3 linked regions of the Nothobranchius furzeri genome follow. The protein of the gene in region 3 purifies or fractionates together with the protein of the main gene of each other region. This does not show direct contact. Links are inferred from orthologs where the notes say so. Each region holds a gene or a part of one and is shown on either strand. Other genes may lie near its edges.

What was found. The genes of interacting proteins can lie anywhere in the genome.
Region 1: the proteins of lgals3a (region 3) and solute carrier family 12 member 6 purify together in Homo sapiens (affinity purification with mass spectrometry; 3 studies listed by BioGRID and IntAct, counting the BioPlex papers as one, with this or other methods). This does not show direct contact. The link is inferred for Nothobranchius furzeri from reciprocal best matches to the Homo sapiens genes LGALS3 and SLC12A6.
Region 2: the proteins of lgals3a (region 3) and ece1 purify together in Homo sapiens (affinity purification with mass spectrometry; 3 studies listed by BioGRID and IntAct, counting the BioPlex papers as one, with this or other methods). This does not show direct contact. The link is inferred for Nothobranchius furzeri from reciprocal best matches to the Homo sapiens genes LGALS3 and ECE1.

The regions. Positions count from the first base shown.
Region 1 is NC_091742.1:80,340,273-80,344,987, forward strand, and holds the start of solute carrier family 12 member 6, read left to right. Parts: upstream 1-1,423; 5' UTR 1,424-1,464; coding exon 1,465-1,684; intron 1,685-4,715.
Region 2 is NC_091743.1:76,780,467-76,785,491, forward strand, and holds the start of ece1 (endothelin-converting enzyme 1), read left to right. Parts: upstream 1-1,733; 5' UTR 1,734-1,935; coding exon 1,936-2,061; intron 2,062-4,007; coding exon 4,008-4,146; intron 4,147-5,025. UniProt on the Homo sapiens protein: Converts big endothelin-1 to endothelin-1.
Region 3 is NC_091758.1:19,582,960-19,587,984, reverse strand, and holds the start of lgals3a (galectin-3), read left to right. Parts: upstream 1-1,715; 5' UTR 1,716-1,863; intron 1,864-2,231; 5' UTR 2,232-2,234; coding exon 2,235-2,249; intron 2,250-2,375; coding exon 2,376-3,083; intron 3,084-3,923; coding exon 3,924-4,012; intron 4,013-4,101; coding exon 4,102-4,258; intron 4,259-5,025. Other genes in the region: gmfb (glia maturation factor beta), read right to left, coding at 1,017-1,019. UniProt on the Homo sapiens protein: Galactose-specific lectin which binds IgE. May mediate with the alpha-3, beta-1 integrin the stimulation by CSPG4 of endothelial cells migration.

The DNA of each region.
Region 1 (4,715 bases), on a different chromosome or scaffold from region 3:
GATGGTGGAAATGGCCCAAACCTCGTCTGTGGCGTTGTGAGAGACTCATTACCGGTTATAACATGTGCTCGATTACGCCTGCCTCCAAAAGTGTTTTTAGGTTTAGGGGTCAGTTACTATTTCACATGTAGCCAGGCTGGTGTGGATCACCTGTTTGATTAATAAAGTTATTATTCAAAATCTGCATTTTATATTTATTTATTCAGATCGTCTCTGTCTGGTTTTGCATCTTCTTCTCTGGTCTGGAACAGAAAATGATGCAGCAGAAACAGTAGAAATCAAGTCCTTTTTGTTTTCTACCTCCTGCTTTCATTCTGAGCAGCGCGCTGGTCCCCAGCAGAACCTGAAGCAGCATCCAGCCCTGCCTCTGCATGCAGAGCCAGAGCTGGATCTCTCTGGCACAACCGGTTGGAACCGCTCTCCTTTAATTATTAAATTATTGTCCAAGGCTGAGGAAAAAGAGGGAAAAGAGTAAAGCAGCCGTCTGGCTGTTGTTCTGCCAGGATTCAGGTGTTAGGTGACTCTAGTGGGACATCTGGGACATGAGCTACGCTGCTGCTTCACACACCTCCGTCATTTGTGACCCATTCACTAAAAGATGGAAATGAACCTGAAGCTTCTGAGATCATTGATCGAACGGTAACAAACAGAGAGACTTCTGCTTTAACGGTGGATGGATGTTTGTTTTATGATGCAACAGAAGAGGGTCTGTTGATCTTTTAAATAGATTTTTTTCCCAGAAAAGCTCATGACACACTTCTTGTTGTGCCTGCCTGATTTGACGAGAAACTCGGGATCACAGACGCTTTAATACTGAAAAGTTTTTATTTCGCATTCATGGAACTAGTTTCTAATGCTGAGTCATCTCTTTGTGTTTTCCTCTTCCTGTCTCTTTGCTTTTGCTGCACCCGTGTCTTTCCCTCCCATGGTTTTTACACCACTCTTGTGACGATTGATGATGCGTGATGAAGGTCACTTTTCAAAGCAAGGTGCATGTCAGACACATTTAGATACGTCTAAAGGAGAAAATGTAAAGAGGAGGACAGTTATCAGCTTTCTGTCACCAGAAACCGGCCCAGTCAGCTTCTCACAGTTACTTTACTCTTTCTTAACTGCTAGAAATAGTTTTGACACATTTCTGAAGAAAGCCGATCATCTGCCGGCTTCACTACCATCACACACACTAAGAGTGTGTCGTCACAAATAGAACTTTTCCCAAACCTTCAGTCAGAACCCAACCCGCTCGCTCCCATGGAGTGTTTTAGCATACAAAAGAGAGCTAGTCGAGGTAACTGTTACCTCAGCATCAGCTGGGAGATAGCCTAGCTTAGTGCCGCTAATCTGGTCCACAACCCCCCCACACACACACACACCCCCACCCCCCCTCTTCTGCTTTATCCCATCTGGCACACACCTGCCCCCCCCCCCCCCCCTTTCTCTATTAACTTCTCCAAGCAAGCTGCCATGGCATCAGTCCGCTTCACTGTGACGCCCACCAAGGCCGAGGACCTCCCGGGACTGTCCGACACGTCGCCTGACCTCAGCTCTCGTCCGTCCAACCGAGTTCACTTTGGCTCCAGGGAGAGTGTCGATCCAAGCGATGGGCTCAGTGAGGCAGGTGTGGCGAACACCGCGTCGGGAGGAGGAGGAACCGGCACACCGGATCACTGCAGCATAGAGCAAGGTGAACGTCACACTTACTAACACAGACGGGGTATGAACCAGATGTTCTCCAGTGGAGCGTCTCACACTGGTGCACAGTTGTGTTTGCGACTGTAGCAGCGTGTGTGGTTGTGGAGGAGATTTATAAGGCTGTATTTTGAGTGTGGCAGAGTCATGATTACCTCCATGAGTCTGGCTTGTTTTTATGTACGTCCTCTCTACATTGTTGAGCTTTCAGTTGTGGATATCGACGAGAATCTGGTGATACGATGTTTATCACACGAGAAACAATGCCATACATCACAGTACTGAAAGCCAAATAATAAATGTCATTTTAAATTGAAAGACCAGGGTCAGACGCCTCCAAAACACTCCGTGTTCTCACGAGACCTCGTTGTTCCGTCAGAATGAAGGCGATTGAAATCTGCTGCCACCTAGCAGTCAGAGTTTGAATTACAGCACAAAAAAAGCTTGCATGGAAATTCTCCCACAAAAAATCAAATGTTTTAAAATGTTGATTCATTTCGTAAACCAAATATTGCAATATTTCAGTGCATCCATATATTTTACATCCCTGTTTTATGTGTTTGTTAATCAGAGTCCATGTGTAAATGAACCAAATCTTTCAGAGTTTTCTGCTCACTTGTCTGTGATCTTATTTGGCCGTGTGATGGCAGGTGTTGGGACTGACCCCGGCTTTCCACGGGAGCCGTCAGCAGCACGTTACTGCAGCAGCACGTCATAGCTGCTGATAGGAACCGCTGTGGTCAACAGAACCTTTTCCACTGGAGCCTTCGGCAGCCGTCAGCAGCGCGAGTCGGCCGCGTCTCAGGAGCAGCATGTCGCGGCCTTTACGCGCCGGTTCTATTTTCTACACGCGGCGCCTCTGAAACGGGTCAAGTTCGACATTTTTGGGGAAGGAAAGACCGGAAATCGGACGCGGAAATGGAGAGAAGCTTCCGAGATTTTCAGAATAAAGAATGTACTTCCTTCCGGTTGCTTTACTTTTAAAAAAGTTACTAAATGTGCGGACCCGTGAGAAGTTATCACCTAGCTAGCGGTCTCCTTTGTTTTTCAGGTCCGTATTGGCGATTATAAAACGGACAGAACATAAAACACAAACCATGTTGTAGTTTTCTCCTGCTTGTTGTTGTGTTTACTGACGAAGTCACTCGTGTGACTTCGTGCTCGGTCGGTGACAGCTGCTCCCCTGCTGCTTTGCGTCTCGTGGGAAGGGCCAAGCAGCAGCTTACGCGAGCAAGACGTGCTTCTGCAGTAACGTGCTGCTGACGGCTCCCGTGGAAACCCGGGGTGAGACATGAATGGTTTGGGCTGGAAAGAAGAAGTGTGTTCTACTTCTGTCACACCTGACTCAGATCCGAGCAGACATCCCTCCTCAGTCACAACTGTCAGAATGCAGAAGTTTGTCTAGTGGCAGAGTCCTGAGAAGTGCTTCATGGTGACCCCTCACTCATGTCAGTGAGCCAGTATGTTCCACCATACACATGACACAGGTACAAGTCAGTGGTCCGGCTCAGGGCTGCTAACGAGTTAACTGTTCTCATAGGTTTTTAGCCTCTAAACAGAAAAGGATTTCATTTATTTGAATGTAAGAGTGATTGGGTTTCTGATTGGTTGAGGGCTTCATGGAGTCCAACAGAAAAATGAGCTATAATTAAAGTTTAGCGATGTTGTTCAGGTTCCACTTCCACCTACAGCACAGAGGCAGTAGAAAACATCTTCTAGTCGTGTCAACAGGTGAGAGGGATGGCCTGCACATTCACCCGATTCAGAGGAGAGAAGTTGTATGTAGTTTATTTTTGGATGTGTGCAATAACAGAATTTCTAAAGGCGTGAGAGTGGCTGTGCTGATTGACTGGCTGTAAGCCTGAGCAGATGTGTTGTCTCCTCTGATCCACTTAAGCACTTGGGCAGTAGTGAGGATGCCCCACGTTGGTTGTTTAATAAGCTTCCATAAATAGAAATGGAGACAGCTAATCCGAATGTGTTTTGATCAGGTTGCTATACGCTGCGGTTGTTGTTAAGAGTCTGTTCATATTTCTGCTTTGGTTGCTGGAAAAGAGAAAAAAGCAGAAACGGTAGATCAGCAGAATCCGCTGAAATAGAAAACCCTCTTGCTGATGTTACTGAGGTCAAGGAGTCAAGGTCCTGAGATGTTCTCACAGGGGAGGAAGTCAGGGCAGCTGGTGGTTGAAATAAGTGACGTTACTGAAGCTGATGGACGCAGAGAGGCTACATCTGGCTGCACGTGTGCGTCAGTTCACCAAAAAGAAGAAACAGCCGGGTGTTGCAGCTTTGGGTGGGGACTTGTGAGGAAACCACGCCCAAACAGCAGTCGTGTTCCTGTGTGTTAGCCTGGGTGTGAGTGGTACAGTTTAGGGACAAACCACACAACTTTCAGTCTTTACTGATTTTCAGAAGACTAGCAGTACAAGCTAACCGACTGGTTCCAGCTGATTTTTGCATGACGAGTAAAGAATAAGGATCACATACCGTATGTAACAACTCTTATAGCCCCGGGAACCTCTGGGGATTTTAGAGTATTTCCCTTCATGGTATCATGTCTCCATTTCATCGGGCCAGCCCAAATGTTAGCCAAGAAATCTAGAGAGACTGTAGCTGAAGCTAAATAATTCTGCTCTGCAGGTCGGTCTAGCCGCGCTCCACGGGAGCCCCAGCAGGTCCACCATTGGCCATAGCGGAATGGTGTTATGCCAATCACAGCGCTCTCAGTTTGGTGGGTGCAAATGAGTGGAAACAAAGATGGCGCCAGCTCGTTTGAAACACCTTTGGCATCAACTTTGGAGTATTTAGACTTGGCTTTTCTTTGAGTCAAGAGCAGAAAGAGGTACTTAAGTCATTTATTTAGACAAAGGAGGTATTTGTGTCTTCATCAGTTTATGGTGGACTGAAATCCATAGCGGTGAATATGTCACGTTTGTTGTCCAACAGCATGTGGAGACTAGGGCTGAACGATTCTGGAAAGTAATCCAATTGCGATTTTTTTTCTTCCATATTGCGATTTAATTCAT
Region 2 (5,025 bases), on a different chromosome or scaffold from region 3:
TCGCAATGATAAAGGATTTGTTTATAAACTATTAAGTGACAGGAAGTTCTGTCATAACACAGGAATTGTTATCAGCTTTAAAGGTGGATTGTGTATTGTCTTTATCAGATTATTAAGGAAGTATTAAGAATGATATACTGCAGACCTCACTGAATTAGGTTTGGTTTTATAGTATAGCATCTTTCACTCTGACTAACCTGTTTCTTTTCATGGTTTTCCTTCAGAAACAAAACCTTCAAGTTAATAAAAATAACAGCAGTGAAATCAGAGTGGGTCGGTAGAGCTGGCGTCTGCAGCCTGAGGCTCTCTGGACCTTCCACAATGGCTCTTCATGTAATAATTGCATCGAATTTCCATAACAGAATCACTAGTTTTAGATCTGTGTATGTTTTTTACATAATCTTCCACACATATAAACATCCAGAAAAATTTATAGTCTCCTCTTGCAAAAGTCCTATTAGTATTTTTTTTACCTAACAACGGAAACGAAAATAAAAAAAAGATTTCTGACTTTAATCTCAGAAAAAATCTGAATCCTAAATATAAGAGACAATGTTTTTCATTGGCCCTATCCCTCTTCCATAGTTCCATCCATCAATCTTCTGAACCCGCTTTGTTCGCGGGGGGGGGGGGGGGGGGGCTGGTGCCGGGGTGCACCCTGGACAGAGAGCCAGTCCATCGCGGGGCAACACAGAGACACACAGGACAAACAATCATGCACACACACTCACACCTAAGGACAATTCAGACAGACCAATTAACCTAACAGTCATGTTTTTGGACTGTGGGAGGAAGCCGGAGTACCCGGAGAGAACCCACGCATGCACAGGGAGAACATGCAAACTCCATGCAGAAAGATCCCAGGCCGGGAATCAAACCCAGGAGGACCTTCTCGCTGCAAGGCAACAGCTCTAATCACTGTGCCACTGCGCAGCCCCTCTTCCATAGTTATTTTTCTAAATGTAAAAGCTGTCTTTTTTAAAGATCCTATAGCAGTTGCAGCTCTAAACAAGTTTTATTCCAGTGGACGGTGGGGAAAAACTGCTCTTTGGAATTGTAAAGGTTGCAGACCCTGGTATCAGCCTTGAATACTCTAAACTGGTGCATCACTGTTTAAATCAGTTAACAGGAAAAATAGCTTCTTTTGCGTATGTTTTACTTCCTATTACACAAGTCTGAGTCATAAAGGAGCTCTACCTCTCTTTTCCCTTCTCTGACACGTTTTGCTTTTCATCTCTAGAAACCTGACACAGCATCAGTGTTTGCATGTGTCACTACTGTAAGGGGCTAAACCAGAGAGGAACTGGCTGGCTTGCCGATTGTGCAACAGGAAACAATCACAACGTGTATCTGGAGGAGGAGCTTCTCTTTTGGGCTCCGCCCCTTTGTGTTTTGTGTCCTATAGAAAGAACAGTGGGTGTGAAGTGAGAGACACCCTCCCCAAATCTGAGTGAAACCACATTGAGGAATGTGGTTGCACAAAGACACACACACGCGCATGCACACACACTCACTCAGCCATGTAAATCGTTCTAGTCAGAGCTCCTTCCTGTTTTTCACTAGTTCCGTGTTCTCTTGTTCCGTGTTTGCATTGACTCGGCTAGAAAGATCAAAGAGAGAGAGAGAGAGAGAGAGAGAGAGAACCCACAAGGAGTTCTTACTACATCTCTTCAGGTGGACATTTCTGCTGCGTGTGTCTGCCTAAAGCCATGGGGGCTGTCAGAGGGGTCGGGGGGAGCAGAAAAGTGCATTCAAAGAAGAAGACTGACATTTTTCCCCCTTCAAAGCAAACCTTGCTCTAACCAGAACAACCCGATTCTCTTTTTTAACCGATGGAATTTAAAGGGCCAAGCAGTTGTGAAGCCTCAGGGACTGCTGAAGAGTAAACACCATTCTCCAGACATCCTACTGGGAATGGATAGGGCTTGAAGAAACATGGAAGCATTGAGACAATCTGTTCTTCATCTGATTTTTCAGATGTCCACATATAAGAGAGCCACGCTGGACGAGGAGGATCTGGTGGACTCCATGGGTGACGATGTCTACCCCTCGTCGATGCAGGTAAGAGCTCAGCCAGGAGGATGTTGTGTCAGGCACCTAAAGCACAACGATTACAGCAAACTTCAGCGAGGTCTGAAAGTGACACATCTTGTTGTTTTAAACCGGACCAAACGTCTTTTAGATTATTTTTGGCACCTTTGATGTAAAAAGAGTTTTAGCTGTTAATGTTAGATCGAATGAGAGATAAAAATGTGAGGATAATGACATTTTTATGGCCTAAATTGATTAATTTTGTAAATGTTGCTTAAAGCATTCATATTATAAAACCTTTTACGTAAATGACCCAGTTTATGCTCTGACTCTTTGGCTTCTATAAATGTATTAAAGGTGTGAAACACTAAAAAACTTTTCTGATTGTAATCAGTCATTTTGAGTTACAACATGCAGGCCGAGCATGAGGATAGTCTCCTACACCTACCTCCTGCATTAGCTTCTGATAGAAAACAGACGGTGAAACTCTAGGATTAGAAAATCCTGACAGATCTATGTCACACTGTCACTTAACATTCATGGTCTCACCCATCTGGACTCGCAACAGGAAGGCTGTTGTTGGTTCAGTGTCCAGGAAACAACAGAGAATGTCTCAGCAGCTAGAAGCTAACTGTTAGCATTAGCAGCTTCACCACACGACAGAACTCCTCCAGTGTGTTATTGGTGGAGATAAAGCATCCACGCTGCAAGTCAGTAGTAGAGTCGCTTTGCTGTTATCCAATTCAGAGATTTCCAAATATCAGGAAATAGGACTCCAAAACATTCTGCCTGAAGCTCAGCTGTGAAGTTGGCAACTTTGAGTCAGAGAAATGGTGCCACAGTGTGTTTTTTCCCTCTGAGATTAACTTACAAGGCAGTCTTTCCTAACAGAAACGACAGCAAATTAAAGGAGTCTTCCACTCCTTTAATTTTACTTTTGTCTTCAGTGTCAACTATTGTGATAAAGTTTTATAATAAGTCATAGACACGTAACCGTTTCTCTACTTTTATTCACATACAGACGTTGGGAAATTATATCTTCAGCGTCTGTAATTAGTGAATAATTTCTATGACTAGAATTAAATTGGTAGAGCTGTGTGTGTGTGTGTGTGTGTGTGTGTGTGTGTGTGTGTGTGTGTGTGTGTGTGTGTGTGTGCGTGTGTGCGTGTGTGCGTGTGTGCGCGTGTGCGCGTGTGCGCGTGTGTGCGCGTGTGCGCGTGTGTGCGTGTGTGTGTGTGTGCGTGTGTGCGTGCGTGTGTGTGTGTGTGTGTGTGTGTGTGTGTGTGTGTGACATTTTTACATCAGAAGTATTCAAATATGACCCTGGGGACTTAGTGTGCAGAGTGTGTTATTAGGGCTAATCAATAAGTCAGCTGCTGCTGGCCGTGACCCGCAGACGCTCCGAGCTGCTCTCACAGCTCCTCAGCGCGCTGCACTGGTCCTGGTGTCCAGGTCTGAGATAATGCTCAGATGTTCTGATGGGAATCTTCTCTTGATTGATCTTGTTACCTCTGTGATGTTCTCTGTGTGTAACGTTTAAATCGTCTGCGCACCTGCATACGTCAGGGTAATTCCAGTTTGTCAGAATGACCAACAGCCTTGAGATTTCAAAATAAACTATCGAAAACAGAGAATATCTGGTTAATGCAACTCCAGCCCACATTTGACTTTTTTGCCTCCTTGGGAAGATAGCATGGCAGCACTTGCAATGTTATGGTAAGCAAAGAAAGAAAGGTTAAGAAATGTACAACTCTATTATTATTAATATTATTATTGTTGTTACTATTATTTATTTATTTATTATCAATACTGAAGTGCCGTTTTGGTTGTCTCTGATATAAAACGTTTAGTTTAGTAAAGGAAAATATTAGGTTCCTCATACATTTTCAGGGTATAAAGATGTAGATTAGATAAGGTTTACTTAATGGGTGTGCGTGTGTGTGTTTGTGCGTGCGTGCGTGTGTGTGTGTTTGTAGGTGGCTTTTTTTCAAGGCAGAGGTACCACATGCTGGCAGGACAAGACACAGCGAGAGAGGAAGCTGCTGTATCTGGTGTGCATCCTGTCACTCGTCTCGTTCGTGTCTGCCATCGCTGCTGGGCTCTTCTACAAACAGGGTGAGTTCTTGTCTTTAGCCTCTCCCATCAACACAGCTGAAAACAAGCAAGCTGGTGGAATGATCTTGTTTTTATGTGTTTCACATATTAAATACTACATGACCTCTCAGCCCTGTCAGAATAAATTGATTCTGATGAGCTGAGTGTAAAAAAACGTGTTGCTAACGTAATTTTTACTTCTTGCTGCTCAAATATTTTGCTGTTAGTCAGATGGACATTAGTGTCCCTCTTACCTCACAAGTTCCCAAACCTTTTACGCTCTGATCCACTGAAAAACAACAAATCCTGCCAATCCTTAATGAAACAAACACAAAATAATCCCAATTCAAATATTTTTTACCGAGACCACACCTTCAGCTTTTCCTCAGAACAACCTTGAATCTCTTCCATGAGTGGGTCATTATGGAAAGGGACTTATGGATTTACCATGACATCCTGGCGGCTTCTCATCAGTGTTTGTTTCCTTGATTTTACCGTGGGAAACCGAGTGCCACTTCCTCCCATTCAGCATCGCTTGTCAGATCACACGTTCAAATAATAGAAGGAACAAGGATGAAATCTCTGTGGGGAAACGCTAACCTCATCACTGCTCTTTTTCCATGGCTGTCCTTAAATGGGCAGGCTTTGTTACAAACCACTAAGTGTAAACTCATCTTTGTTTGACGATAATACGTTACAATACTTTCAATTTTCAAAACACTGAAACTTTTCTTGTTAGTAACAGTTTTCTTTCCATCCAGTTACTTTAAAGAGCAAATTGCAGGTTAGAGACTCCCATGAACCAATGTTTAGAGAAACATAATAGAAACTCGTTTTAAAAGTTTTTTTTACACATACATAAATTATTTAGGCTTTTAGAGTCATTTTTGTGAGAAAGTT
Region 3 (5,025 bases):
AGTGAAATCTTTAATAGCACCTTCGTGAACAGATGGAATGGTTGGAGTCAGGATTTCACTCAGCTCTGAGGAAGATTTTACAGATTAAGAAGAGATTTATGTCTGAGACAGGGTTCATGGAGAGAAATAAGAAAAAAGGATGCACCATTGGAGAAACTACATTACAGTAAAATAGTTCACGGGGTTACTTCTTGTATAGAACAAACAGGAAATGGTTTTGTGTTATCTAAATAATAATGTTCTACCACTCCGAATGACACGAAATGAGAAATAACCACCCAGCATAAATTTATATTGAAAAGAGTCAAGGTGTCACGACACAGTCCTAACGACCCGAAGGGAAATTCATCAGAAAAAGAAGGCGAGTTAGCGTAAAAGCAGCTCCCAGAAGCCAGGCATGTTAAAACCCATCATCAGACAAATGAATGATGCGTCAAGCTGCCTACGCACCATAGCAGGAACACGACACCACGCACTTCACAGTAAAAGCATCTGGACTTGAAAATTTACCCAAACTAGCCGATTCAACGGTAAAAACACAATAGCTGGTCACAACCTTGAAACAGCTATTGCTAATAAATTATTAAAAGGATATTATATATTTTTAATCATCAATTATTCATTTGAGTGGGTCGAATACACAAAATACACACATTTGAATAATAAGTAATCAATTTCAAATTTGACAATCAACAGGTAATGATTAATACATAAATTGTCAGAGATTATTTATATAAATAATGTGTGTTGATAAATGATCATGCATGTTGCTTTCCGAGGCCAATAAATCTATTTTATTCTGAAAATACTGACCGGAAACATATTCGATGTGCGTTGACAAACTTGCCACGATACACAAAAAGAGGGTGGAACTAATGCTAGGCTAACAAGCTAACAATTACAATCTGCGACTTTTCATAAATAATTCGCAGAATTAATTTGTGAAGAGTTCGTTATTAAAACACAAAAATGACAACGACGCCACTCCACGTTCACAAGCAAACAGAACAACTCACCATTGTTGCTGCGTAAAATCCCTCCTAACGCTTCTGCTGCTGTTGTGAATGGCAGGAACGCTTTCTGTGTTTTTTTTTTTCGTTTACTTCATATCATCTTGTGACTGGTTAGACCAATCCCAAACAGGCACCCCTTCACTTAAACCCTGCCCAATACATTCAGCTCAGCAGTAAAACGTTATTTTAAATGATACAACCGCACGATTAACACATTGTTTAAATAATCCAGTTTAATTTCACAGCATAAAAATAAATATTTACATTTTATTCTTGCATATATATCAGGAATAAGGAGCTGTAATCATTCATTCTTCATTTACTCAGTCTGGCTGTGATCGATTCTACTGGTTACACACGCGCGCCCGCACACACACACACATACACACACTTTTTTTCCCCATTTTCTAAACGTTGTAGTCAACCTTTTTGCTCATCCACGTGGGCTTGTATGTATTTATATTTGATATATAATGTATATAATGTACATTATATTTATATGTAATGTGTGTATTTATATTTAACCCAACCGAACCCAACTGTGTAAAATGTGCATTGTAAATAAAGTTAGATTGGTTTATGAAAAGTTTTGCCCCCCCTCAAAAAAAACCCCCGCTGTGGACGCTTGTGTGCGCGCGCGCACCGGAACGCACCCACCCCGTAATATACGTCATCAGTTAAGCGCGTGTGCGTCTTTCCTTTTCAGGAGTTGTAGTTGTGAAAGCACATCTAACGTTAGCTTACACTTGTGAGCCTCGGCAGCCACAACAAGCAGGTTGAACCGTTTCCAGTGCTGGATAATTCGTCGCTCTTACCCTCCGTGGTTTAAGGAAAGTCCAGCTTTTGTCCGGTATGTTCAAAAATCCGCTTTAGTGCATTTTACTGTACTCAGATCTGAGCTAAACAAGCGTAAACTACTAACAGTTAGCTGGTGTTAGCTAGATCGGTAGCCAAGTCTGCAACATATTACTAGAAAATTCGTTCCTGTTTCCTCGCTAATATGCTATTCACTGTCATGGCATTTGTGTAACTTTCCACTGTAATATATTTAAGTAATGTCGAGTTGTTTGGAGCCTGTCAAAATGGATTCTGTTAATCTCCACGGTTGTAGGATGGAAACATTTACTCAGAGCTCAGACCTGCCCAGTGATTCTGACACTAGCTTGTTAAAACCGGTTACTATAAACTCACGAGAGTTGTTTTTGTTCCTTCTTTTAGATCATGGCGGATTTCTCGGTAAGTTGAAAATGTTTACACTCACCTATTTACGTCCCTTCATATTGTTTTTATTATTAGCTTGTAGTTGAACAGATCTGTTGTTGTGGGTGGAGACGGCTAATTGTACTTTCTCTCCCTCTCTAGCTGACAGATGCTTTAGTAGACGAACCATCAAACCCGCCTAAGATAGACAATACCAATCGTTCTGTACCAGACAGAAATCCCCCGCCTCATTCAAACCCAGGATGGCCTGCTTCTGCCCCAGGAGCTCCCATCCAGCCCACAGCACCTGCTGACTTTAGTGGCGGATTGTCTGGCCCAGGTGCACCAGGCTCATTCTCATATCCCTCAGGTCCTGGAGCACCAGGGCAATACTCCGGACCTCCTTCAGCACCTGTTGGGTTCCCTGTTGGTCCTGGTATACCTGGGCAGTACCCACCTGCACCAGGAGCTCCAGGCCAGTTTCCCTCAAGTCCTGGGGCACCTGGGCAGTTCCCTGGCCAGTATCCCCCTGAAGGAGTTCCAGGACAATTACCTGGAGGCCCTACTCCTTACCCAGCTGGACCTTTTCCTTCTGGCCCTGGAGCTCCTGCTGGACCATATCCAAATGTGCCTTTTCCTGGTAGTCAGCAACCAGGAGGAAATGGGATGTACGGACCAGGAGGTCCAGGTACATTCCCAGCTCCAGCTGGCCCCAGTTCATTTCCAGCATTCCCTGCTGGTGGGTTTCCCCCAATGCCACCTGGATCATGGGGAGCACCGGCAGGAGGTGGTTTTCCTCCTGCACCTGGCCCTTTTGGGTCCAGTCCTATGAGTCCATATGGGGGGCCAGCCTGTCCAGGAGGCACATTGGTGAGTACTTGTTCTTCTTGGAAACATTTTTCTTGCTTGCTGCACTTCTTATCTGGTGTATTTCTCATTTGGTGTTTGGTGGCAAGTCAAGGTGGTGAGCAGAAACGGTCACGTTCATGATCTGGTTTTGGTGGCGGCTGCATTTGGGTTTTATTCCTTCGTCTTTGAACACTGCTCGGGTGCAATTTTTATGATAAGCAGAAGTAATCTCTTTTCAGAAGGAATCATAGAAAAATCTATTTTTGTCTTTCAGCCCAGATATAATCCACCATTTTATTGAAAAGTCGGACAAGGACATCACTTCCAGCTTCAAAGCGTGGTTTGATTAGTGCCAAAGACTGACTGTATTCCGTATCTGATGGCAGTTGTGTTCAAATGTAAACAATAAACTGGGTGTAATTCTTTCAGTGCAATATTAAATAAGTTATATTTTTACAGAACATCTATTCCCTAATGATGAAAGTTTACTCGGATATTTTCTATCATTACAGGACAGATTCAGATCTGAGGTGTTGGAAATGTAATCGTTAAACTGAACTTTTTACTTTTTCATTACTTTGAGAAGTCACCGGGTGTTGAAACAAATGAAGAAAGTTATGACTCATTCAGGTGCTGTGGTAATAATGTTGGCAGGGTCAAAGTTTTGATTAATGTTTAACTGAATTCCCTTTATTTCCTGACAATAAACTTGTATGTTACCAAGTCAAGAGTGTTGTTAATAAAGGTTAAACGCGTGTGAATCTTCCCTGTCGGATGTCATTTATCGGGTAAAAACTGTTTTTATTTATATATTTATGCACAAAGTGCCTGTCTCATTTGTGTTGTAAATGTTTCTTGCAGATGTTGCCGCATGATCTCCCCCTTCACGCTGGAATCATGCCGCGACTTTTAATCACGATAATCGGAGAGCCTGTTCCTGGTGCAGTCAGGTACACGTTCACAAATAGCATTCAGCTCATGGGACTGATGTCAGATGTGGTGTTAGGGGAGAAAAACAACTATTTGTTTTCTTTTTCAGGTTCAATGTTGACTTCATCAAAGGTTCAGATGTGGTTTTTCACTTTAACCCTCGGTTTCATGAGCAAACCATTGTTAGAAACTCTAACTTAGGAGGTTATTGGGGGCCCGAGGAGCGCGAAGGACCCTTCCCCTTCGTTGAGGGACGCCGTTTTGAGGTAAAATCAAAACAAAAAGCTCAGGAGAAAGAAATATAATTTTATTTTTACATCTGTACTTTATAATAAGAATACAGCAAATGTAACGGAACACAGAGACTTTTGAAATTTTATAAAAGATGTAAAGGCAGCTTTTTGAGAGTGATGCTACGGTGGTCCTCCATGTTAGATGTGATTCCACCACGACATGTTTTATGCAGGCGTGAGATGCAATATTTATTTACACCTAATTCAGCAAGCTTTAGTTAGATTCAGTATCAGAAGTGTCATCTCAGCAGCTTCCTGACGGGCCCGCTGATCTAATAATTACAGAATTAAGGTAACTTTTATGTGAACTTCCTATGGTAGTGGTGGTTTTTTTTTTTATTAGTGAGGGTCCTGACTTAAAGAGCAAGTCACCACCCTGCCTGAGTCTTTCTCCACTCACACTTCTTGTTTGAAAAAAGCACAAGGAGGTGTTGCCTGGCAGACCAGGTGGGCAGATCTGCGCTAGAGAGTGACAGACTGCTACCCCCACCCCCCTGCGCTCGATGGTTCTCAGTTCGAGAACTGAGCAGCTAACAAACAAGCACACACACACATCCTGCTCAGACAGAAAAAGAACCATTTTCTAGATTCTCATAGCTATGCTAGCTCCTTTGTCTCAGAGCAGTCATTTGAGGTAGAGTCTTTTTCTCCACCTCCTCATTTAGCAGATGGTGAAAGAGGAAGGGTTTTTTATTTTTTTTGGAGGAGGCAAGCGACCTTGAGCCGTATCGTTTCAAACC